2 linked regions of the Astyanax mexicanus genome follow. The protein of the gene in region 2 purifies or fractionates together with the protein of the main gene of each other region. This does not show direct contact. Links are inferred from orthologs where the notes say so. Each region holds a gene or a part of one and is shown on either strand. Other genes may lie near its edges.

Region 1 (11,493 bases), on a different chromosome or scaffold from region 2:
GGTAGGTAGGTTTGACACACAGAATTGGATCAGCAAATCTGAGGGAACATGATCTGCTGCACCATTTAAGGTTGACTGGATATTTGGAATACAAAGTGGGAAAGAACAAAACAAAGATCAGCTTATTAATATTCAACAGCCTTTTCAGTTTGTGATCCATGGGATTAACATAACCTGTAACAAAGCATAATGAACTGTTCCTTGACTATTGTGAGTAAAGGACATAGTGTGGTGATGCTGTTCTGGCAGTGCACTGGGGTGTCTGATGGAATGGAACTATTTTACCTTGTGGAATATTCATAAACTATTTACCGTTCTTTTTCTTTTAAAATCTACCAGTAAACTGTGATAACGGAACTGATATTATTGCAGTAATAATCTCAATTCATGCTATAACGAAAGATATTGACACTGGCATATTGATCTTCAACACTTGTCTGCCAGCACCAGTATCTCACATTACATGTACTATTGTTTAATTGTATTTACAAAGAAATTTGATCTGAAATGTCAATAAGGTTCAGTGGGTAGAAGTGGAATTATGTACACGCCATTGCTAATAGATTAAGATTTTATTTCCTATTTAAATGTACCAGACTTCGATGATGATGGGACCCTTGATTCTGGAGATCTTGAGAAATTGGTGAACTGCCTGACTGGAGAGACAGAGGACACACGACTCACTTCTGAGGAAATGAAGCAACTTATAAACAATGTGAGAAAACTGCACACACCAAAAAAAATCGAAATAAAGTAAACTTCAAAAATATGAATTGAAATGAACTAATTTTGTGTTTCTGCAGATTCTTGAGGAGTCAGACATCGACAAAGATGGAACAGTAAACCTTTCTGAGTTTCAGCACGTCATTTCCAGATCTCCTGACTTTGTCAGGTAGGAGATGCTATAATTGAACACTATTAAACGTAATATTAATTCTTGTTTGTAGTAATAATGACATTTGTTGACTAATCATCTCATATTTTGCAGTTCATTCAAGATTGTGCTGTGAAGCGTCAGAAGCACTGAAAACATTTTGTGGTCCGATGCATTCACGACAGGACAACAGTACTTTCCTCTTTTCTTAACAGTCCTAATGTAGGTGTTAATTGACATATACTCTTATCAGTATTTCTATGCTTTTCTAATTTATAAAGAAATCTGTACATATTTTCTGCACAACCTTTCTTTACTCTAAACCTGTATTTTTGGAGATATTTTATATTTAATAAACGCATGTTGTTTCCCTACATTTATTATGGCTGTCTTGATGATCGTCCATCACAATTGAAAGGACTCCAGTAGAAAATAGATCCCTTTGTTTGGGGGTCATGAGAAGCGATGCTCTTTTGGAACAGCAGACACAAATGTATTCCACAGCCCACAGACAACATCTTCTACAAACATCCCATTTTTTGAGAAGTACTCCACGGCTTTGGGTTGATCTGAACTGCATTTTGAGCCATGACCCAACTGGCCATAGTGACCTGTTACAGAGAAAAAATGCAAAGTGTTAGAATATAAATCAATGAACCATAACTTTAACATCCCCTCTTTGTTTCTACAGTCATTGTCTATTTAATCAGATCAGCTGACCATATATGATGCTGGTGGCTGGATATTTTTTTTTTATAAATTTATTTCAGATTTTTCCCCATTTTCTCCCAATTTGAATATCCAATTGTCCCACCCCTTTGTGCGTCCCCATCACCGGTGACGCCCGTGACCCTTGGAGGATGTGGACGAGCACACGCCTCCTCCGACACGTGTGAAGTCAATCACCCCTTTTTTCGAGCTGCTGCTGATGAATCATTGCCTGAGCAGCTAGCGCGCTCGGAGGAAAGCACAGCGGCCAGGTTCCAATTCATCCGCTCACAGACGCCTTGTGTCACCCAGCGCCACCTTATGTGTGATGTGGAGAGAGAGCGCCATCTACCCACCCCAGAGGGAGCAGAGCCAATTTTGCTCCCTCTAAGCACCGGCAGCTTGAAGCGCCAATTTTGCTCCCTCTAAGCACCGGCAGCTTGATGGCAAAGCTGCATGAGCGGGGGTTCGAACCTGCGACCTCCCGCTCATAGTGGCAGTGCATTAGGCCGCTGGACCACTCGGAGCCCCCCGTGGCTGGATATTTTTGAATGGTAGAATATTCTCAGTTTAACAGTAATACTGCATTGTTTAAAAACTCCAGCAGTACTGCTGTGTCTGATCAGATTCTACCAGCACAATACACACTAATATACCACCATAATGCCAGTGTCACTGCGGTGCTGAGAATGACCCATCACCAAAATAATACCTGCTCTCAGGGTAAAAGAAGGATAATAATGTATGCAGAAAGACAAAGGACTACTGTCTGTGATTACAGAAATAAAGAGTGCTTCTACAGTATATGGTCAGTTGACCTAATAAAAATGGCAATGAGTGTTGAAACACAAAGGTGGTGTCAATTTTCAGCTGATCAAGGTAGCTAACAATTGTGTATACATTTATCAGTGAACAAAAGGGAAGTGAAGTTTTTACCCCATCCCCAGGTGTACAGATTTCCAGTGCCTAAAAAGAAGTTAAACAATTAAATTATCAGTCACATCCTTCTTTCTCCATACTACTGTTTTTCATTAACCTATTACTACTAATAAAATAACAAGCACTGACGAATCTTACTTGTGGTAGCGGCTGTATGGCGGGATCCACAGCTCACCTTCCTGATTTCACACATTTCCGGAACATCCACAAGGGCAGGGAAGGCTTGAATTGAAATGAATATATCATCTTCTCCTTTATTCATAGTTCGTTTATCTTTACCTAATGGTAAACAAGTGTCAAAAATAGAAGGACATGAACACATGGAGAGATAGTATTTCAAGCATTTATTCAAAATTCTAAGATGGACTCACCAGTGCTTTGTCCTTTTTGACTCTCATCGTTAAGACCTTTTGATGGCAGGCCTATCTGTCCACTCTCGTTCCAGCCCCATATATAGAGGTCTCCACCAGCTGCACACATTAACATATCATATATCAAATGCTCAAGTCAAAACCATTCATTCGTTTTATTTGCTGATGTTGCATAGATGTTACGTAATCCATTATAAGCTTATATAACATCTGAAATGACATAGCTTTTTCTGACCCGTAAAATTCAAGATACTGGACTGAAATGCCATTCAAAAATAAACCTTTTTTTCAAATACCCATTTATTCTAAAGTAATTTAGCTTATAATCATAGGTTATGTTCAGCCGGCCAGCCTAAATCTGATTTTTGGTATATCTAGTTTGGTAGTCCTGACAACAATAAAAAGTTGAGTACAATGTTTCATTCATTTTGTCCATTTATAAAATACTGTCAAAATGTAGAGAGCAATTACATCCAACAAACCTACCAGGCCACTCTCTATTTAAAATGAATATATTAGGCATTGCAGGGGTGGCAATGCCAGGACCCTAACATTATTCATTAAAATATTTTGACTCCTCTGAACTTATGAATATTACTGTCTTCAGAAATCTTAAGGACGGCTGCTTAAATGCTGAATTTGATAATTTGTTATAATCTTACCGCTGATGCATGCCGAGTGCCAGCCCCCTGCACTCACATGGTTCATAGGGACACCCCACAGAGCTTCTACTGCTCGAGGCTCATCCTCTGAAACCACACTGCCTTGACCAAGCTGACCATGACTGCCAAACCAAACACAACAACATGGTTATAAAAAACATAAAGAAGGCACAATGTATGGGGTATCTTATCCTGTAATCAGGGCCACCATTTATCCATCTATGTTAATCTTAATGTGGATTAGCAACAATACCACACATCACAGCACAGTAATCCTTATACATCAGACAGACTGTTTATTAATCTATAATTTGTCAGAAATTCCAAAACACACAAATATCAGTGATAGGACATCATTCATTTGAGGATTGTTTTTGGCTATTACCTGCCAGATCCCCAGGTGTAGACAGTTCCAGATGTTGTCAGAAGAACAGCATGTTCAGTGCCCAGCGCCAAGCTAACGGCACACAGCTCGGTAGAGAGGGGTCTGAAGAACGGAGGTTTGGATTCTATGTATCCTCCTGGCACCAGTGGTAATGTTACAGTATCACCTTTATGAGAAAAGAGACAAAAATAGTCATTTGCAACTGGTTGATGGTCTTATCTAGAACAACATTTGAATCATATTGGATATGTAGGTGAATATAGCTATTTGAGTCTTGCCAAAAGACTCTTATTGGTGCAGTGTTGTTTAAGAAATAAACACCCCAAATTTACCCTTTTATATATTTGTAAACTGGCAGGGCAAATAAATGAAAGAAAAACTAAATAATGCATACTGTAAAAAAATGTAGCAATGGAAATAAACTGAGCCCTGGAAATGTATTTTTAAAAATAATAAAAATAAGTATTTTCTTTGGTAAAATTACAGATGAAGCCATGGAGTGGTGAGAACTGTTTCCTACACCTTTAAAAGACTCATGAGATGAGATAGTATATAAAAATAATGACTTACTATATCAAAATAATGAATTATTATCATAAAATAATGACTTAATATCTCAAAATAATGAATTAGTATCCTAAAATAATGAGATAGCGGTTTACTTAATAATAAGGAATAAAATGTGCTGGATTTTTTTTTTTTTATTTTAGGTGGGGAGAATGAGCTTCAATAATAACTCAACTTCATGATACATTGGGCACTTTGTCCACCACTGATTAAACCTAGAATAAATGTGGTGCTGAGACTAATGAAATGTATCTAGGGGTTATAGCAGTGATTCAGTGTACAGTGTAGCTCCATCACCAGTATTATCAGGGCTATCCCACACCCTGCTCCAGGCCAGAGCTTTTCCAGCAGGCGTCAGTTGGCTCCAGCACTCCACTCTGTCAGCAAATCTGAGGATTAGATACCTCTCAGTGATCAGAGCGTCCTCACACCCTTCACTCTCCACAACCAGCCCTCTGAACTCCTCATCCTGCTGCTCTGAATCACCTCTCAGCCCTGATACACACACGTGTTTACCACCTGCAGTTTATAACACACACAATTAGTGATTTACTATAATAGAACTTGAGGTAATAAGCGGGAAATCACTTAATAAAACTAAACAAAGTTAAACAAAGCATAACTAAAGTAAAATAAATCTCACCATGTATGTGGATGGCAGCTTTTCGGCTCCAAGCTGCAGTAATCCTGATGTTTTGGTCCTCTGGTTCTGTTTTCTTGGTTTTGGGGCTGAAGCTTGTTTTTTCTCCACAGGAGCACAAACTCAGCACTGCAGCTGGACTCAACACTTTAGAGCTGTCTCCACTATATTCACTTTTTACTCTGGGAAATATTTGCCCAAAGCCATTAAAACCAAAACCAAACCACTTCATTGACTTATTATCTTATAAAACACAACATATGTTTATTTTAAAGGCCTTACTTGCTGATGTATAGCAGAAATAACACTGAAATTGACAAGTTAAATTTAGTAAACTGTCGGCGTCAAAGAAACAAGCAGCAAACAGTATTACAGAATAAAAGTCATTCTTAATGATATTTATGTATGATATATATATGATAATTATAATACAATCTCTGAATCGTCTGCATATGTGTATGTATATTTATTATTTTAATAATATAAACATTTAGACTAAATTAAGGAAAATGTTTATTTTCTTAAAAATGTAAAATCAGAGCCGGTTTAGAGAGAGTCTGACCACTTATATCAGTAAACGGCTGCACACCGCTAGAGGGAGCCCGCGAGGGAGTGCCCAATTAATAGGGCTGAATTGAGCTAATGGCTAAAAACTCAAATTACAAATAGTAGGTAACTACCTGTTCAGAAGATTCCTTTAATTTAAAGTAAATTTAGCATTTCTCTAAACAAGCAAAGACAACCTACTTGTATGTTTTAATTGTTCTACAGTAAAGGGGTTTACGCAGTACAGGCGCTAGCATTACTGCTACCATGTGCTGCTTGACTGGTGAGTGAGCTAATGTTGGAGTTACAGCCAGAGCACTGAGTTTAAAAGGCGTGTCTGGAGTGTAAAAGCTTTAAAATGTATGTCTGTGTTCCTGAACAATTTTAAATTGTTCTGCGTTAAGGAAATAAGTACATGCTTTATATATAAAAAAATAATCAAATATCACTTCTTAGGAACCTATTCATTTTCGACTCACTCGGGAGCGCTCTCTGGTGGCCTAACAAACATATTATTAAAACATTATTAAATGGGTATTCTCCTCTGTAGTTCTTTGGTAATACTAGAGAATCAATAATAGAAAGGAGGATGCCCAATTAATAATAAAGTCTCCCGTGTTCGTTAGTCCACCAGAGGGCGCTCCCGAGTGAGTCCAAAATTAAAGTTCAAATGGAGCAACTGAGCAAAATCAGTGTTTATAAATGTAAGATCATTTTATACTGAGAATTCTACTGATTTTCTCAACACAGAACAGTTTTAAATGGTTTAGCACCACATACATATTTTAAAGCTTTTAAACTGTAACTCAGCTCAGCATCAGATCAGAAATCACTCAGCTCACAGTGGCAGTAATGCTAGCGCCTTTACGGCATACAATTCGTTCAATGAAGAAAAAACGGAATACATAGGTAGGGTTTCTTTGCTTTCAGAGCAAAATGCATCATTCTATGTTCTAGAAATTAATGTTCTTGACAAGTTGATAGTTACTATTTTTAAATTGAGCCTTTAACCGTTTAGCTCCATTCGCCCGCATTCATTTCGGATTCACTGGCGGGCGCCCTCTAGCGGTCTTGGTCATTTTCCGATTATAATGGTGGATTTAAAAAGTGGGCAGTCTCTCCATAAACCAGCTGTGGTAAATCTTTCTACACTACTACTGGCTTCACACTTCCGTCTCCACATAGCAACGGAAAGCACATCAGAGAAACAGCAACGGAGGAAACAGAGCGGAGGAGCTATGGTGAAATATCTGTTATACATATTTCAGTCTTCTTTATAACAGAGAGCGAGAGAGAGAGAGTTCTGTTAGGATACAGTCTGAATTGTTGTTTTTAATACTTCGGATATAATAACTGATAGCTGATATCACCCTTAGCATAGCCTTCTCTTCTCTATGTAGCTTAGCTTGGTAGCTAGCTAGTTAACCAGCGATTTCATAGACATTTATAAATGTATGTATAAATTATATGTCTATGAGCTAGCTAACATTACGCTAGTTAACTATGTTACCTTAGTGTGTATGTAATTATTTTAGCTGAGCTAGCTACATTGTTGTCCACATATGATGTTAATCTCGTTTTCCTTGAGTAACAAAAGAAATATTAGTTCAGGAGTAGCTTATACATAGCTAAAATTGGGTTGTATTTAAGGTGATGAGCAAGGTCCTTTATAAAAATAAAAAAACAGGAGTTCTAGCTTAATATACCAGTAATTTCCTAGCAAACAGACAATTAAAAAATAGTAAAAAAAATAAATAAGTAAGTAAGGAAGGAAGTAAGGAAGTGTGTTGTGCTGGTTGTCTCTAAATGACATTGTTTCTTATGTCTTCCAAACCTTTCCTATCATGTCGTACTCCAGGCTGAAGTAGAAGACACACTGAAGAGAATCCAGACCCACAAAGGGGTCATAGGGACAATAGTAGTAAATGCTGAAGGTAAACACGTGTGTATTTTTCATCATGCATATGGCTGGGAACATCACTGATGGACAGCCTGCAGTGGAGCTGGGTATCATAGCTGTCCAATGAAAAACATGTGCAGGTGCATCTCAAAGACTTAAAATATAATTGAAATAAATGTTGTCAGCCTAGGAAAGCACAAAGTGCTGTATAATTTTCTGGAAAAACGTTGCACTAATTTTGGACTTAATATAACACAGTGACCAAAACCAGCAGATGAAATGTCTCTCCAAACCATCACTGATTATGGAAACTTCACACTAAGACCTCAAGCAGCTTGGACTGTGTGTCTCTCCACTCTTCCTCCAGACTCTAATGCTTTGATTTCCAAATGAAATGTAAAATTTACTGATGATCAGTGATGGTTTGGAGAGACATGTCATCTGCTGGTGTTGATCCACTGTGTTCTTACAAGTCCAAAGTCAGTTCAGTGATACATTTTGAATTGAATTACTAAAATAAAGTAACTTTTTATTGATATTCTCATTATTTGATAAGGACCTGTATCTCCTTTACAGAAGCTAGTTAAGACGTTCAAAAAGTTAAGAGTTTAATTCATGTAATTTTTTTAAAATTTGTATTGGTCCATTCCTCAGGATATGTTTGAAACAGTATAAAGCCTTATCTGGATGGGATTAGTTTCTCAGGAGGACCAGTGAGTTTCATTTGTCTTTCTCGGTCACATGACATTGCGTTCAGTAGCCCCTTCATGTCCACTCGCTGTTGTGTTTACCTGCCTCTCCGTGGAAACACATCTAAAGTGTAATTACGGTGTGTGGCAGTGGACAAATAGCTATTTTATTAAACACAAAGTGACGTGAGGTGTGAGTGTAGATGGGACTAAAATTACCGGAGGACCACAGAGTTCAGTGAAAAACAGTAGGTAATTCAGCCTGTAATTTTCTCAGAGGACGTCTGAGAAAAACACATACATGGTTATTCTGGACGAGAATAAAATCACAAGGAACAACACGTAAAAGAGAAAATTACCCCTACTGAGAAACCTACTGAGAAACTAATCCTGTCTGGATATTGCTTAAGTAACAGATTGTGCATTCAGATTATGTAGTAAACTAAAACTAGACTAAAATGGAAGTACTTGTATTTCATTGGACAGCAGCAGTATATTCTAAAAGTAAAGGGTATCTCCTGTCACCTATTATATTTCAAACTATCCACACAGTTTTGTTAAAGTATTCAGCTTTTTAAAAGCTATATGTTGTATGTTGTGCACACACATCTTGCATAATCTTAAGCCTAAAGCAATCGATATGGAGCTCTGTCTAATACAGTTGTGATCAAGTGATCGGTTGTTTAATGACTGGCCATCTGAATAAACAGTTGGAATCAGCTGTGCTGCTAATTGTTTAAAATAAAAACTTGCAGCCACATTTGCCCTTTGCAGATAAGATTGTATACACTTTGAGGGTGATCCAGAACTAATCATCCATTTTAATTGCAATCAAATACTCAGAGCAATGTTTCCACTTACCACTGCATTAATTTACAAATGTAGTTTTTACAAAATTTTATTTGCAAGATATTACATGCCTATGTAATATATTAGGGGTGCCTAATATGAAAAAAATCTGATGTGCAACAATAGTTTGCTGTGAGATTCACCATGTCCTGTACCTCACTCTGTCTTCAGCCTACTAGCCTACATAAGCACAGTCTGTAACCTGTATAGCTCCCTCTGTTGCTGCACATGAGTAATACATTGTAATTGTCTTATTTAAGGGTTGTTGCAGATCTTTCCATTTGTTTGTCTTGAAAACTTTATTAAAAACTTAAAAATGTTGATAAAGAAAAAATATGATTTATCATACAGCCCTAATGGCAAAAACAAGCTGAATGGTATTGCTGATTAAATCCTTTTGCATTAAAAACTATCATCATGTGGCTTTAAAAGTGATATTTTCTTCGGATCTTCAAGGTATTCCCATTAGAACAACCCTGGACAATTCCACCACAGTACAGTACGCTGGACTGCTTCATCAGCTTACTATGAAAGCCAGGAGCACAGTCAGGGACATAGACCCTCAGAATGACTTGACATTCCTACGCATCAGATCCAAGAAGCATGAGATCATGGTTGCACCTGGTATGTGAATCAGTTTGCATGTCGTATGTGATAAACATTGTTTTTATTTTGATTTTGACACAGAGAAGAATGAAATGAACTCTAATAGCAGTTTTCTTTATCTATTTTTATTCACAGATAAAGAATACCTACTGATCGTCATTCAGAACCCGAGTGAATAGTATTCTGGGACTGTACCAGCTTTGCACATTCCATACATACCTTACATTTGTCATCTGTCTTTTGAGTTGCCTTTTTTCCATGTCTTTTGCCTCTTGAATTGAACTGTCACGTTCCTGTCAGTCACACACTTGTATTTGCCTTATGTTTTCCTATAGAAAATGCATTTTAATTTAATAAATCTCATGAGAATTAACACTTGTTGTATCTGTCGTTGAAGATAACTGAATTATAAGATCTTCGAGGGCTTATAGTGTTTATTGCAGCATGCTTTCTTGACTTTGTTAAATGGAGTGATCAGGGTTGGTGTAGACCACTTAACCCCCCACTAGAGGGAGCTATTGCTCCATAAATGCGAATAATCAAGGCCCAGGATGTAAACATAACTTTCCCATACAGGAATTCCACACGGTCAGAATTCCTGTAGAAGGATGGATTATAAAATGAAATGGTTAGTATATATAATTTGGTAATTGGCTTGTATGTTGATATTAGCAGGTCTGTGGCAGTGGAGTGTCTTCATTAGAATCAAAATCTTTATACACCAAATAACCAGGTGTACAAGTAATTTCCCTTGGTGCAGATGCCAAACCCAAACTTTAATTAAAATAAATTCAATTAAATTATAGAGAAATATACACTTTCTATGAACAGAAAATAAAAACATCAAATATAAAATATACAGTAAAAAAACAAAATGTAAATAAAGGTATATGCAATAGGAGTAAATTAATGAATTCATTAAATCAACTACTGAAGATGCAGTTCCAGTCAAAAGTTTGGACACATCTTAAATTATTATTTTTTTTTAATTAGTATGAAATTTTCTGTATTGTAGGGTAATTCTAATTCACTCGAACTATGAATAAAAATATGAAATTATTTAGTAAACAAAAATGTGTAAAACAAATCTGAATATGTTATATATTTTAGATTCTTCAAAATAGCACCTCAAGCTTAAATTACAGCTTTGCACATCTCTGCATTTCAGCTTTATAATGTAGAGTCACGTGAAATGGCTTTCAGTTAAGAGCTGTGCTGAACAAGAGTTGATTGCTTAAATTTCTTGGCCTCTTAATGTGTTTGAGAGCATCAGTTGTACAGTTGTGAAGAAGTAGAGTTTGTATACAGTTAATAGCCCTATTTACGTGTTCCATATTATGTCTACTACTTAATTAAGTAAAGAAAAAAATACTCTAAGAAATGAAGGTCAGTCAATAACAAAAAAAAATCCAAGAACTTAGAAAACATCCTCAAGTTCTATAAAAAGACTATAAAATGTTATGATCAAACTGGATCTCATCAGACCAGAAAATGGATGACCTAGAGTAATTTCTGTTGCAAAGGATTAATTACCAGCTAAGTTACCAGCCTCAGAAACTGCAAGTTAACAACAACCCAGATAAAATCCCAATTAAATGTTTCACAGAGTATTAATGTTACCAGTCAAATCAGTTGACTGTTCAGTTCAGTGTTTTTTTGCCTGTATGAATGAGCTTAGTTTTGTCATCGTCAGTCAGCACCAGTTGGTGAAAGAGCTGATGTGCATAAACCTATATCGATGTGTGCATGTGTGCTGC
Region 2 (12,260 bases):
AAGAATCCTAGAGTGTCAGCTGAAGACTTACAGAAATCTTGTTATTTTGGGTTAAAAGAATAGGACACTCATTCCATCAAAACATTTCCCACTAAATTGTTTTCCCATACAGTTAAAGAGGGCGGCTGTGGCCTTTTTGCCACTGAATGCATTCAGCTACTTTAATTTCCACCCATTTCTGACAAACGCACAGATATGCAAATGCACATACAAAGCTTGTCTAGTCCCTATAGGAAAGTATTGCCAGTAGAATCGAATAGTAGAACTTTCTGGAGCAGATAATGAACATGAGCCTATTGATATTGATTAATGCCAGTTGCAGCATAAACTCTTTATTAATACACTTAATTTCAGAAGAAACAGTGAATGAGCAGGGGTCCCAAAACTTTTGTCCATACAGTGGCTTGCAAAAGTATTCATACCCTTTGAATTTTCCGTCTTTTTTGTCGCCTCACAACCGCAAACTTAAATGTGTTTTATTGAGATTTTAATTGATAGACCAACACAATGTATTGCATAAGTGTGAAGTGGAATGAAAATGATGCATGGTTTTCAAAAGTGTGACGGGCAAAAGTATTCAGCCCCCTTTGCTCTAAAACCCCTATATAAAGTCCAATCAACTGCCTTCAGAAGTTATTAGTTAGTTATTAGTTAATCAGTATAAATACAGCTGTTCTGTGAAGACATCAGTGGATTGTCAGAGAGCACTAGTGAACAAACAGCATCATGAAGACAAAGACAGGTGAGCACTTACAGTTGTAATTGCAGCAAATGGTGGCTCTAAGTATTGATATAGGGGGGCTGAATACTTTTCGGATTTTTATTTGATACAAATTCTGAAAACCATGTATCATTTTCGTTCCATTTCAGACTTACGCAATACTTTTGTGTTTGTCTATAACTTAAAATCTCAATTTTGCGGTTGTAAGGGTGATAAAATGTGGAAAAAAGATTCAAGGGGTATTAATACTTTTGCAAGTCACTGTATATAATACCACCTACACAAAGCAGAACGGGTTTAAATCTTTTCTTTTTTTTTTTTCTTCTTAGAGATAACCACAAATTATGTGCCAAATAAAGCAGTCAGTGTGTTCAGCATTCAGCCGATACCACCACAGCCTGTTTTATTATTAATCCAGCAGCATCCTCAGGCTGCCACTCACCTTTATATCCAATATTCCAAGACTATACGGCAAAATATATAAATATATGTCTCTGTATCAGCATTAGAATTCTCTGAACGATGCGGTATACCTCTTATTATCAGAATAAAAAGAGGGAACTATTGTTTTTATGATGTATTATTGGTCTCTGTGTTCTTTCTGACTTCAAACATAAAAAATATGTTGATAAAAAAGGGAAAATAATAAATTTGCCCCGTGGGGCACACTGCATTATTTATAAGCACAGGCATGAAGCTCTCCTCACACGCTCGCACACGACCATACAAACAAAGCATTTCGTGAAAGGAAAAGCAGGTTTTTGAGAGCTTTTAATAGAATTGTTATTTGTTCTAGTACTATGTCAAATAGCCACAGTAAAAATTAAATACATTAAAAAATAATCTAAAATAAACCACTTAAATTTAGACACACCTTCACGTTCAGTGTTTTTATTATTTTTTATTTTTTCCCCTAGATTTTAAATGAATACTGAAGTGATCCAGACTATGAAGGAACACATAAGGAATCATGTAGTAACTTAAAAAAAGTGTTAAATAAACCAAAATACTCTGTGAAGCATTTAGCTGCTCTTATCTGGGGAGCTGTTTGTTAACTTGCAGTTTCTGAGGCTGGTAACTCTGATGAATTCATCCTGTACAACAGAGGAAACTCTTGCCCTTCCTTCCCTTGGCTGGTCCTGATGAGAGCCAGTTTCATAATCATAACAATTTTGATATCCTTTTTTGCGACTGAACTTGACGATACTTTAAAAGTTCCTAAAATGTTTCGGATTGACTGACCCTCATTTTTTAAAGTATTTTTTCTTTACTTAGTTGAGTAGTTCTTGCTTCTCATAATCTGGATTAGAACATTACTCAAATATTCACTATTCACTGTATACCTGTAACTCTACCTCTTCACTACTTTACTTTAACTGATGCTCTCAAACACTTTATTAAGAGACAATAAATACAAGTAATTAACTCTTGACGAGTTCAGCACAGCTGTTAACTGAAAGCCTGAATTCCAGGTGACTCTACCTCATAAAGCTGACTGAGAAAATCCAGCAGAGATGTTTGAAACTGTCTAATCTAAGCAAGAGGTGATACTTTGAAGAATCTAAAAGACAGTATGAAACATATTCTGTTTTGTTTAACACAATTTTCCCATATGTATTTCTTCATAGTATGGATGACTTCATCATTAATATACAATACAGGAAATGTTAAAATATTGAGCAACCACAGAATTTAAGGTGTGTCCAAACTTTAGACTAGTGCTGTATATACAGTTCTGGACAAAAATAAGAGACCACTTAAAAATGATGAGTTTCTTTGATTTTACCAAATTGAAAACCTCTGGAATATAATCAAGAGGAAGATGGATGATCACAACCCATCAAACCAAACTGAACTGCTTGAATTTTTGCACCAGCAGTAAAGGCATAAGGCTATCCAAAAGCAGTGTGTAAGACTGGTGGGGGAGAACATGATGCCAAATGCATGAAAACTGTGATTAAAAACCAGGGTTATTCCACCAAATATTGATTTCTGAACTCTTAAAACCTTATAATTATGAAATTGTTTTCTTTGCATTATTTGAGGTCTGAAAGCTCTTCATCTTTTTTGTAATGTCACTCATTTCTCATCTCATGACAATATTTTTATTTGGAATTTGGGAGAAATGTTGTCTGTAGTTTATAGAATAAAACAACAATGTTCATTTTACTCGAACATAAACCTATAAATAGCAAAATCAGAGAAACTGATTCAGAAACTGATGAAGTGGTCTTTAGAGTGGTTTTTAGAGCTGTATAAGTCAGCATTACAATTTAATAAAGAAAATGCTGTTTTCCTCCAGAATAAGGAATAGAGAATAAAAATATGGCACTATTGTTTTTTTTTTTTGTTTTTTTGTATGATATTTTACATTTATATTTTATGATGCATTATTGGCTGCTGTGTTCTTTCTGACACCAAGCATGAAAAATATTGTAGAAAAAAAGGAGAGAAATAAAGAAAAACAATAAACTCGTCCCATGGGGCATACTGCATAATTTATAAGATAACATAGGAAGCTCTCTTCTCACACTCATACATTAACATACTTTCACACAAACACACACACTTATACACTCATACACTGATACACACAAAGCATTTAGTAAAGAAAAAGCTGGCTTTGAATATCCTGGAATAATCCTTGTTCTATTTTTCCTAGAAATATGTCGAATAACCGCAATAAAAAGAATAATACAGAGAGCCAGGGAAGAAAAATCTGCAGCGTTTCATGTGGCGCCACCGCCACCGTGTCCCACGAGTGGAGCTTTCATCCGTTATGTCAAACGTGACAGCGCTGGAAGAGAAGTCATGCTGTGCAACACTCGCCCTGAAGCGAAGGCTTTCTGTCTCACACACAGGAAAAGTCAATAGCAGCGGGGAAGTGCTTTCCACACCAACCTACAGATCCGCTATATTTGCCTCGCGCACTCGAACTGCTTCATTTGTCAGAAACAGACGCTGGTGTTGAGCAGAATTGAACTGTCTCTGGTGTTTGCCGGAGTGTGAGGATCTTAATATCTCTGCCTGAATTCCCACACCAGGTGACATTCCCGCTAACTCACCGACACGCTAACATGCTAACACAGTGTCCTTAGCTGTGACATTGTTGTTGATGTTGCCATCACCCTGTTCTTATGTGCAGAATCCGAGCACAAGACCTGTCAGAGCTTGTGCAGAACAAACAGAATACAAAAAAAAACTCCAGCATTCACTTCACCATGACTTTGTAACATCAGCATGCAGCATGTAGCATCCATGCATTTTACAACAAGACAATGCAAAACCACATGCTGCACACACATGTACAGGGGTTGGACAATGAAACTGAAACACCTGTCATCATTTTAGTGTGGAGGTTTCATTCATGGCTTAATTGGAGCAGCCTGGTGTCCAATCTTCATTAATTGCACATTGCACCAGTAAGAGCAGTAAGAGTGTGAATGTTCAATTATCAGGGTAAGAGCACAGTTTTGCTCAGAATATTGCCATGCACACTATAACATTATGGGTGACATACCAGAGTTCAAAAGAGGACAAATTGTTGGTGCAAATCGTCTTGCTGGAGCATCTGTGACCAAGACAGCAAGTCTTTGTGATTTATCAAGAGTCACGGTATCCAGGGTAATGTCAGCGTACCACCAAGAAGGACCAACAACCTCCAACAGGATTAACTGTGGACGCAAAAGGAAGCTGTCTAAAACCACGGCTGATCAAATCAAGGCAGAATGTGCGATGTCAATGTGCACCTCAACTCCCATGTTTCCACCAGGACTGTCCGTCGGGACAATAAATTATTGTGGTCTAAAACCAGGTGTTTCAGTTTCATTGTCCAACTCCTGTACACCCCAATTCATCTCCAACTCCAAAACTCATCATTTCCACGGACCCTAGAATGTTTTTAATATTTTTTATCATTTATTTATAATATTTTTATGTTAGTATAATTTTGTGTATTGTAGTGAACTGTTGATGGTTGATGTATGATTTTCATATCTTGTGACATTCCACAGGGTTTTACTGTGGGACCAATAAAACTGATGTGAATAAAGAACAACTGCATAAAAGTTTTAAAAGTGAAGACCTAAAGTATAACTTACTGGTTCTAATGGGTAAAGCACTAAACACTAACTAATGTAATGGAAATGGGAAATAGGAAAATTACAGGTGTAAACATTATAGATTTTAGTTCTTAGTATTTAAATGCATGCATATGTTTTTCTAAAGTCATCTAGTGTACTACCTTGGGATGCTTCAAGTACCACTAGTGGTACCTGTACCATAGTTTGAGAACCACTGCTCTAGAGCATTGAACACATGTTCTCTGGAGTGACGAATCACGCTTCTCCATCTGGCAATCAGATGAACAGGTCCCTGTCTGACTTTATTGTGCCTAATGTAAAGTTTGGTAGAGGGGGGATTATGGTATGTGGTTGTGTCTATAAAGACATGGATGGACATGGATGTTCTGACCTCAACCCAATAGATAGAACACCTTTGGGATAAATTAGAGTGGAGACTGTGAGCCAGGCCTTAACCTCCAACATATTAAGCATCTTAATGTCTCTGCCATAAACACACTCCTAAACTTTGTGGAAAGCCTTCCCAGAGGAGCTGAAGCTGTTAATGAATTATTTATTCATTTAGGAATAACGTTTTTGGAAAGAGAGACCTGCCCAAGTATTTTAATATGGTTCCATCTGGCCCACTTTGGTAAAAGTTTGGAGACCTCAGTTCTAGATAATTCCACAGTGCTGTGCTGTGAAGAGCTGACTCTGCAGAGCAGCAGCAGTTCACTCCTCATTATTAAACACTCTCAGGGACAGGCTGGTGATTTGCTCTATAGAATGAGTGAGGTAAGGGTAAATTGTGGAGAATGAGATGTACTGGCCTGTCAGGTGGGCTCGGTGAGGGACCTCCATCACCACTGAGGAGCTTTTCATGGTCTCCTAGACATCCTACATTTTATTCAAGTCAATGTTTTATTAGCAACATTTATTATTTAATATTTATGCTCTCCTGGTGAATCTGTGCCTACAAGGCTGAGAACACCATAGAGAAATACACTATATGGACAAAAGTATTGGGAAACCTGCACAGTCATTGCTTCTTCCATAATCTTCCAAAGGGCTTATAAAAATGTTTATCCTGCTTTTTTTGGATTAACTGGATTAACTGTCATCTCCAACTCTAGAATATTTTTAATATTTAGTATAGTTCTATGTATTTCATTTTTCACAGTTAGCATACTTTTTATAGTTTGTTTTGAATATTTATCATATTTTTATACTTCATATAAATCTGTATATTTTAAAGATTTTTAATGTTTAGTATAATTTTGTATCTTTATATATTTTTTATATTTAGCATAATTTTGTGTATTTAAAATATGTATTATATTTAGTATAATTCTGTTTATTTAAAATACTTTTAGTGTTTGGTATAATTCTGTATATAAAAATATATTTTTATAAAATGTAGTATCATTCTGTATATTTAGAATAGTTTTAATGTTTAATTTAATTCTGTATATTTTAAATATTTTTATATTTAGTATAGTTCAGTATATTTAGAATATTGTTTTATATTTAGTATAGTTCTGTATAGAATATATAGTTATTTATGTAATGTATGTATCTGTGTATTTACTTTTGTATTTTTAGTGTTTTTATGTATATTAGGCTCTGTGTATATTTGTATATAGTATATTTCTATATAGTAGAATATTTTGCATATTTAGTATTTTCTGTATTTTTAGAATATAATAGTTCTGCATATTTAGTATTATTATATTATTATATATTATAGTGCTTTGTAGTTTCGTAGTACAGTAAAGTATATTTTGAATATTTATTTTTTTATATTTAGTGGATCCAGTTTTTGTATTAATATTTATGTGTATTACTGATATCCTGCAGTAGGTTAATTGTATGAGCATCAATCATTTCAGTGCAGTAATATGCAGTTATGAATTTTTAAATAGATTGTGTGCAAATTGCAAAAATTGCATAATACAATAAAATAAAAATAAAATAAACATTGACTATACAAATATCGTCACCTTCTCATTATTATTTACCCCTTATAACAGTCCATATCAAAAGTGTGACCAACACTAATTTATTATTCCTAAACAAAATAAAATGTTACTCAATTTAAATAGCTTTTTCTTTCCTGAAGTGATCTTCAACATTCAGGGATCGTTTTTTATTCAGTAAGTGATGAGATGTTTACTATAATATAAATACTTATTATTAATATGGCTATACGCTATAATATTACATCGTTTTTTTATCTACATTTTACTTAGCTAAACAGCCAAAGAAACAAGTCTATAAAGCTAGCTATAGATGATGTACAGTTTGTGGCTGTTAATTTTTATTTTTTTTTTGTGTGTGAAAAGTTTATTAATAGTAGGGAGTCTGTATGCTGTGCAGGCGGAACACTGGTGGTTCAGACGGAGTTTCAGCCCGGGCGCGTTTTGATGATGCGCAGGTACTGTGTGGAGGGAGGCTGTGGATATTTATAAATGTTTAGAGTGAATATAATGAATAATTAAAGTTTAAAACACGGTTTATAATGAAGTTCAGCTCTCTGCCGGTCCATACAGCCGCGCTTTAAACACGGAGCTGATCCAGCAGTGAGTAACTTACAGCTCTACTACTGTATTACATCAGCTAACAGCTAACTAACTAACTAATGCTAATATTAATGCTAACTGCTGTTTTACTGAATCTAATTACTTTAAAACTTTACACTTAAATAATAAACAACAGGTTTTATAGATGGATGGATGGATGGATGGATGGATGGATAGATAGATATACATGTGGACATAGGTTGATTGATTGATTTTTCCTTAAATTGATTTATTGATTGATTTATGGATTAGTTCATTCATTCGTTAAATGATTGATTAATTCAATAATTGTTTCATTAATTCATCAATTAATTAATTCATTGAGACATTTATGTATCGATTGATTGATTCGTTTATTGATCGATTCATTCATTAAATTTATTTATTTATTCATTCATTGATTTATTAATTGATTGATTTATTAATCGATTGATCGATCGATTGATTGATCAAACAGACTTAGTCCAATGTTAATCTGAGCCAAAGGCGCTGTTGCCATGTGGGTCAGCCAGACGTCTTTCTGTATCAGTTTTCTCCAGTTTCCAAGAGACTTTTAAAGGTGTAGGAAATAGTACTTGCTGCTTTCTGACTTCAAATTGACATTTTAAAATCCATTTTCATCTCTGTTTCCTGTAAGAACAGCTGAATGTGGGTTTTTAATGCCCAGATGTTGTTTAAATGTGAAATATGTGTGATATTTAGTGAGTAAATATGTAATCTGTTGTGTATAATTAGTCGACACTTAACTATAAAATCAGCAAATTTTTTTAAAATTATTTGATTGTGCTGACTAATTGTTGCAGCCCTAATTAACACCTTTTCTTACGCCTCTCCGGCAGGTAATGGCTCACATTTGGAAAGATGTGAAAGCCGTGCTTCCCGCCACCAAGCCTGAGTTTCCCCTCCAGTTCAGTGATGTGGTTGACCCAAGCGTTCTGGTCCTGTTGGGACTGAGCAGAGAGCAGCTGTACAGCTCCTCAGATCCTCCAGCCTGTGTGGAGAACGCTCAGATCATCATGGACTACTCCTGGGAGAAGCTGAACACAGGGACCTGGAGAGACGTGGATAAGGAGTGGAGGAGGGTGTACTCTCACGGCTGTCTGTTTAAAGCTGTGGGGATGTGTCATGGAGAACCATCTCAAGCCCAGGTCCAGGAAGCCATAAAGACGTGTGATATGGGTTTACTGATGGGAGCCGCCATCCTGGACAATGTCCTGCAGAGGTTGGTGGGTGTGCTGAAGAAGAAATTGAAGATGCAGCTTTCCAGCAGAGAGGAGGAGGACAGTGACCGGCCCTGTCTGAAGGTGAATGTTTAAAAAATGCTGATTTAACCGTCTGTTAGGTGTATGGTATATTTGGTATAATCTGGTATATTTGATGGTCAAGGTGGTTTAAAAAAGCTGGTAATTATTGTAAAAGCTTTATAATGGTATTACTGATTAAATATCTGATGATTAATTATCTTCATACTTTACTAACATATGATATGTCTTTATTAGGGCTGTGAATGTTAAGGCATTACCATGTGATGCATTTTAAATCGTAATGCGTTTTTTTTTTTTTTTTTGGAGCAGTTCGCATGTGGTGAGAACGTGATCTGTTTTCGATCTGACCCAGCTATCAAATATGCTTCTTTATAATTAAACTGCTGATAAGGTGCAGTTAAATATTAAGTATTAGCCAGATAATATACTGCTATTAATAAACACTGTCTCTGCTGCTCCATGCTGTTTGCACACTAAGAGCGCAATGTGTGCAGCATTCACTGCTCGCAGCTGCATGACTCTGTGCTGCACATCGCATTAAAAACTGTATTTTTAAAAGCACAGAAGCAAATTTTCAACATAATATAGATATAATTGCATTTTACATTTCTTACATTCACACATAGTTAATCACAGAATATTGTTGTGATTATTTTTTTTTTGTCCGATTGACACCACTATTTTTGATTTGAATCTATTGAATTTATTGTTTATTTTACTGTATTGTTTTTTAAAAGCCCACGCCCAAGTCCTTTGGCCACACCACCACCTTCCTTTTTGTGGTTATGAACTTTCCATTTTCATATTAGTGTTAAAGCCAGAAAATAAAATATTTATAATCACATAAATTAATGCTGCAGCTATTGAATATAATCAGGTATTCTGTTGAAAATTTATTTTAGTAATTGAGTAATCAGAGAACATATTTTTGCTTCTTTAACCCTTTTAAAACCTGCATCCATTACAATGGACACCATGTACTTTCTTAATTTTTTGATGTGTTGTTGCACGTGACACTAAGTTGTCTATCAGAATAGACCCTGAATCAGCAAATGAACAAAAAAACTGGAAAAAGCACTAGAGCCATTGAGGGGAAGAAACAGCTACACTTTTTAATCATGATTTTTACTGTTTAGGAATGGTTTGTGAAATAAAAAGGTAAATATGAAATATAAAATATTACACACAGGTCCCCAATGCGGTGAAAAAAAAACTACTGAATATTTTAGTTCATTGGATTTATTTGCTATATAGATTTTATAGTAGAATATTAGAGTATTCTTTTCTGTGCATTACAGACAGAAAGCAGCTTTCTTAACTGCATTGTTTCCCATTACTGGAGATAATTCAGGTCTGAAAGGGTTAAAGAGCAAGTATAAATACACAAGAGAAAATAAGAAACTTGACTTAATAATGAACGACCAATTGTTTTCCTTTTTTATATATATATTTTTTTCTTAAACTTCTTAAATTCACCTTTTAATAGCCACAAACTGTAACGAATTGTACCAAACTTACGACCTTCGATATGATATACAGGTGCTGGTCAACGAATTAGAATAATTTGAAATAGTGCAATCGTGAAATTCTTTGAATGCATTTTTTGTGCAGAAAGCAAATCAGGTGTTCACCACACCTGTCCTACTCGTTAGACTAATCACAGAACTCGTTACCTGGAAAAAAATTTGCTCAGCTGAGCTTTCCAAAAGGCCCATTTAGGCCATTTAACTGTGACACTGTTGTTTTATTGAATTAGAATAATGGAGAAACCGTTTCATTGAATTAGAATAATTTTTATTATAATTACAATCATCACTTTCTCAGTATTTTGTGGCTGCCCCCTTGGCTTGTATGACTGCCTGAAGTCTCCGCGGCATCGATTTGACCAGCTTGTCGCAAGTTTCCGCACTCACAGCTTCCCAGGCAGTGGCGATGTTCTGCTTCAGTTGGTCCAGCGTAGTAGGCTTTCTGTCTCGAATTTTCCGCTTGACGATGGCCCAAAGGTTTTCAATGACATTGAGGTCAGGCGAGTTGGCCGCCCATGCCAAAACTTCAAGCTGTTTTTTAGTGAACCAATCTTTGGTCGACTTTGCCGCATGAGCCGGTGCAAGATCCTGTTGAAATATGAAGTCTTCTTCACCGAACTGTTCCTCAACAGTCGGAATCAGGAACGTTTCCAGAACATCTTGATATACGGCAGCATTGACAGTCTTCTTGAGGAAGCAGAGTTTCCATACACCTCGAGCGGACATGCATCCCCAGACCATAACGCTCTGGGGAAACTTGACGGATCTTTTCACGCACTCGTGGTTGTAGGTTTCGCCACCACGACGCCAGACACGAGGACCTTGGTCACCGAAGGAGATGCAGAAGCGTGATTCGTCACTGAAGACCACTTTCTGCCAGTCTTCAGCAGTCCACTCGCCGTGTTCTTTGGCCCACTTCAGCCGTTTCTCCATTTGTTTCTTGTTCAGCATCGGTTTTACTGCTGGAACGCGAGATTTGAAGCCGAGTTCGCGCAGACGACGGTAAGTGGTTGATCTGGAGACGTCAGCGCCGGTCTGCTTGTTCCACAAGTCGGTGAGCTCGGAAGTGGACTTGAACCGGTTGCTGACTGCGATCTTTCTCAGCTGCTTGTTGTCGCGAGCAGAAGTTTTTCGGACGCCGGAACAGTTGGTGCGCTTGCTGCAGTTTTTCTTGAGAGCTTTGCAGACGGAAGACTGGCTGATGCCGAGCTGCTCAGCAATTTTAGTTTGGGTCAAGCCTTGTTGGCGAAGGGCTTGAATTTGAGCCACTATTCCGGTTGAGAGGTCGCGCTGCTTACCCATGATTGATTTTACAACTTAGAAATTCTACTCAACCCTGACTTTATACTGCGCAGTGAACACTCTTCACAGAAAACAAAAATTCGAGCATTTATTCTAATTCAATGAAACGGTTTCTCCATTATTCTAATTCAATAAAACAACAGTGTCACAGTTAAATGGCCTAAATGGGCCTTTTGGAAAGCTCAGCTGAGCAATTTTTTTTCCAGGTAACGAGTTCTGTGATTAGTCTAACGAGTAGGACAGGTGCGGTGAACACCTGATTTGCTTTCTGCACAAAAAATGCATTCAAAGAATTTCACGATTGCACTATTTCAAATTATTCTAATTCGTTGACCAGCACCTGTATACAGCTCTAGAAAGAATAAAGAGACCACTTTAGTTTCTGAATAAGTTTCTCTGATTTTGCTATTTATAGGTTTATGTTTGAGTAAAATCAACATTGTATTTTTGTTCTATAAACTACAAACATTTCTTACAAATTCTAAATAACAATATTGTCATTTAGATCATTTATTTGCAGAAAATGAGAAATGACTGAAATAATAAAAAAAGATGCAGAGCTTTTAGAACCCAAATAATGCAAAGAAAACAAACAAGTTCATATTCATAAAATTTCAGTTCAGAAATCAATATTTGGTGGAATAACCCTGTTTTTTTATGCATCTTGGCATCATGTTCTCCTCCACCAGTCTTACACACTGCTTTTGGATAACTTTATGCTGCTTTACTCCTGGTGCAAAAATTCAAGCAGTTCAGTTTGGTTCAATGTTTGTGATCATCTTCCTCTTGATTATATTCCAGAGGTT

Evidence for each region.
Region 1: the proteins of kdm8 (region 2) and RCC1 domain-containing protein 1 purify together in Homo sapiens (co-immunoprecipitation; 3 studies listed by BioGRID and IntAct, counting the BioPlex papers as one, with this or other methods). This does not show direct contact. The link is inferred for Astyanax mexicanus from reciprocal best matches to the Homo sapiens genes KDM8 and RCCD1.

The regions. Positions count from the first base shown.
Region 1 is NC_064409.1:59,370,379-59,381,871, forward strand, and holds RCC1 domain-containing protein 1, read right to left. Parts: upstream 5,505-11,493; 5' UTR 5,379-5,504; coding exon 5,150-5,378; intron 5,026-5,149; coding exon 4,804-5,025; intron 4,106-4,803; coding exon 3,940-4,105; intron 3,677-3,939; coding exon 3,555-3,676; intron 2,992-3,554; coding exon 2,893-2,991; intron 2,801-2,892; coding exon 2,660-2,800; intron 2,549-2,659; coding exon 2,519-2,548; intron 1,486-2,518; coding exon 1,328-1,485; 3' UTR 1,202-1,327; downstream 1-1,201. Other genes in the region: cib1 (calcium and integrin-binding protein 1), read left to right, coding at 597-715, 804-892, 989-1,010; dynein light chain roadblock-type 2, read left to right, coding at 6,784-6,933, 7,551-7,626, 9,587-9,754, 9,872-9,915. UniProt on the Homo sapiens protein: Plays a role in transcriptional repression of satellite repeats, possibly by regulating H3K36 methylation levels in centromeric regions together with KDM8.
Region 2 is NC_064410.1:58,258,901-58,271,160, reverse strand, and holds the start of kdm8 (lysine-specific demethylase 8), read left to right. Parts: upstream 1-7,128; 5' UTR 7,129-7,147; coding exon 7,148-7,216; exon of another isoform or gene 7,217-7,361; intron 7,362-8,200; coding exon 8,201-8,665; intron 8,666-12,260. UniProt on the Homo sapiens protein: Bifunctional enzyme that acts both as an endopeptidase and 2-oxoglutarate-dependent monooxygenase.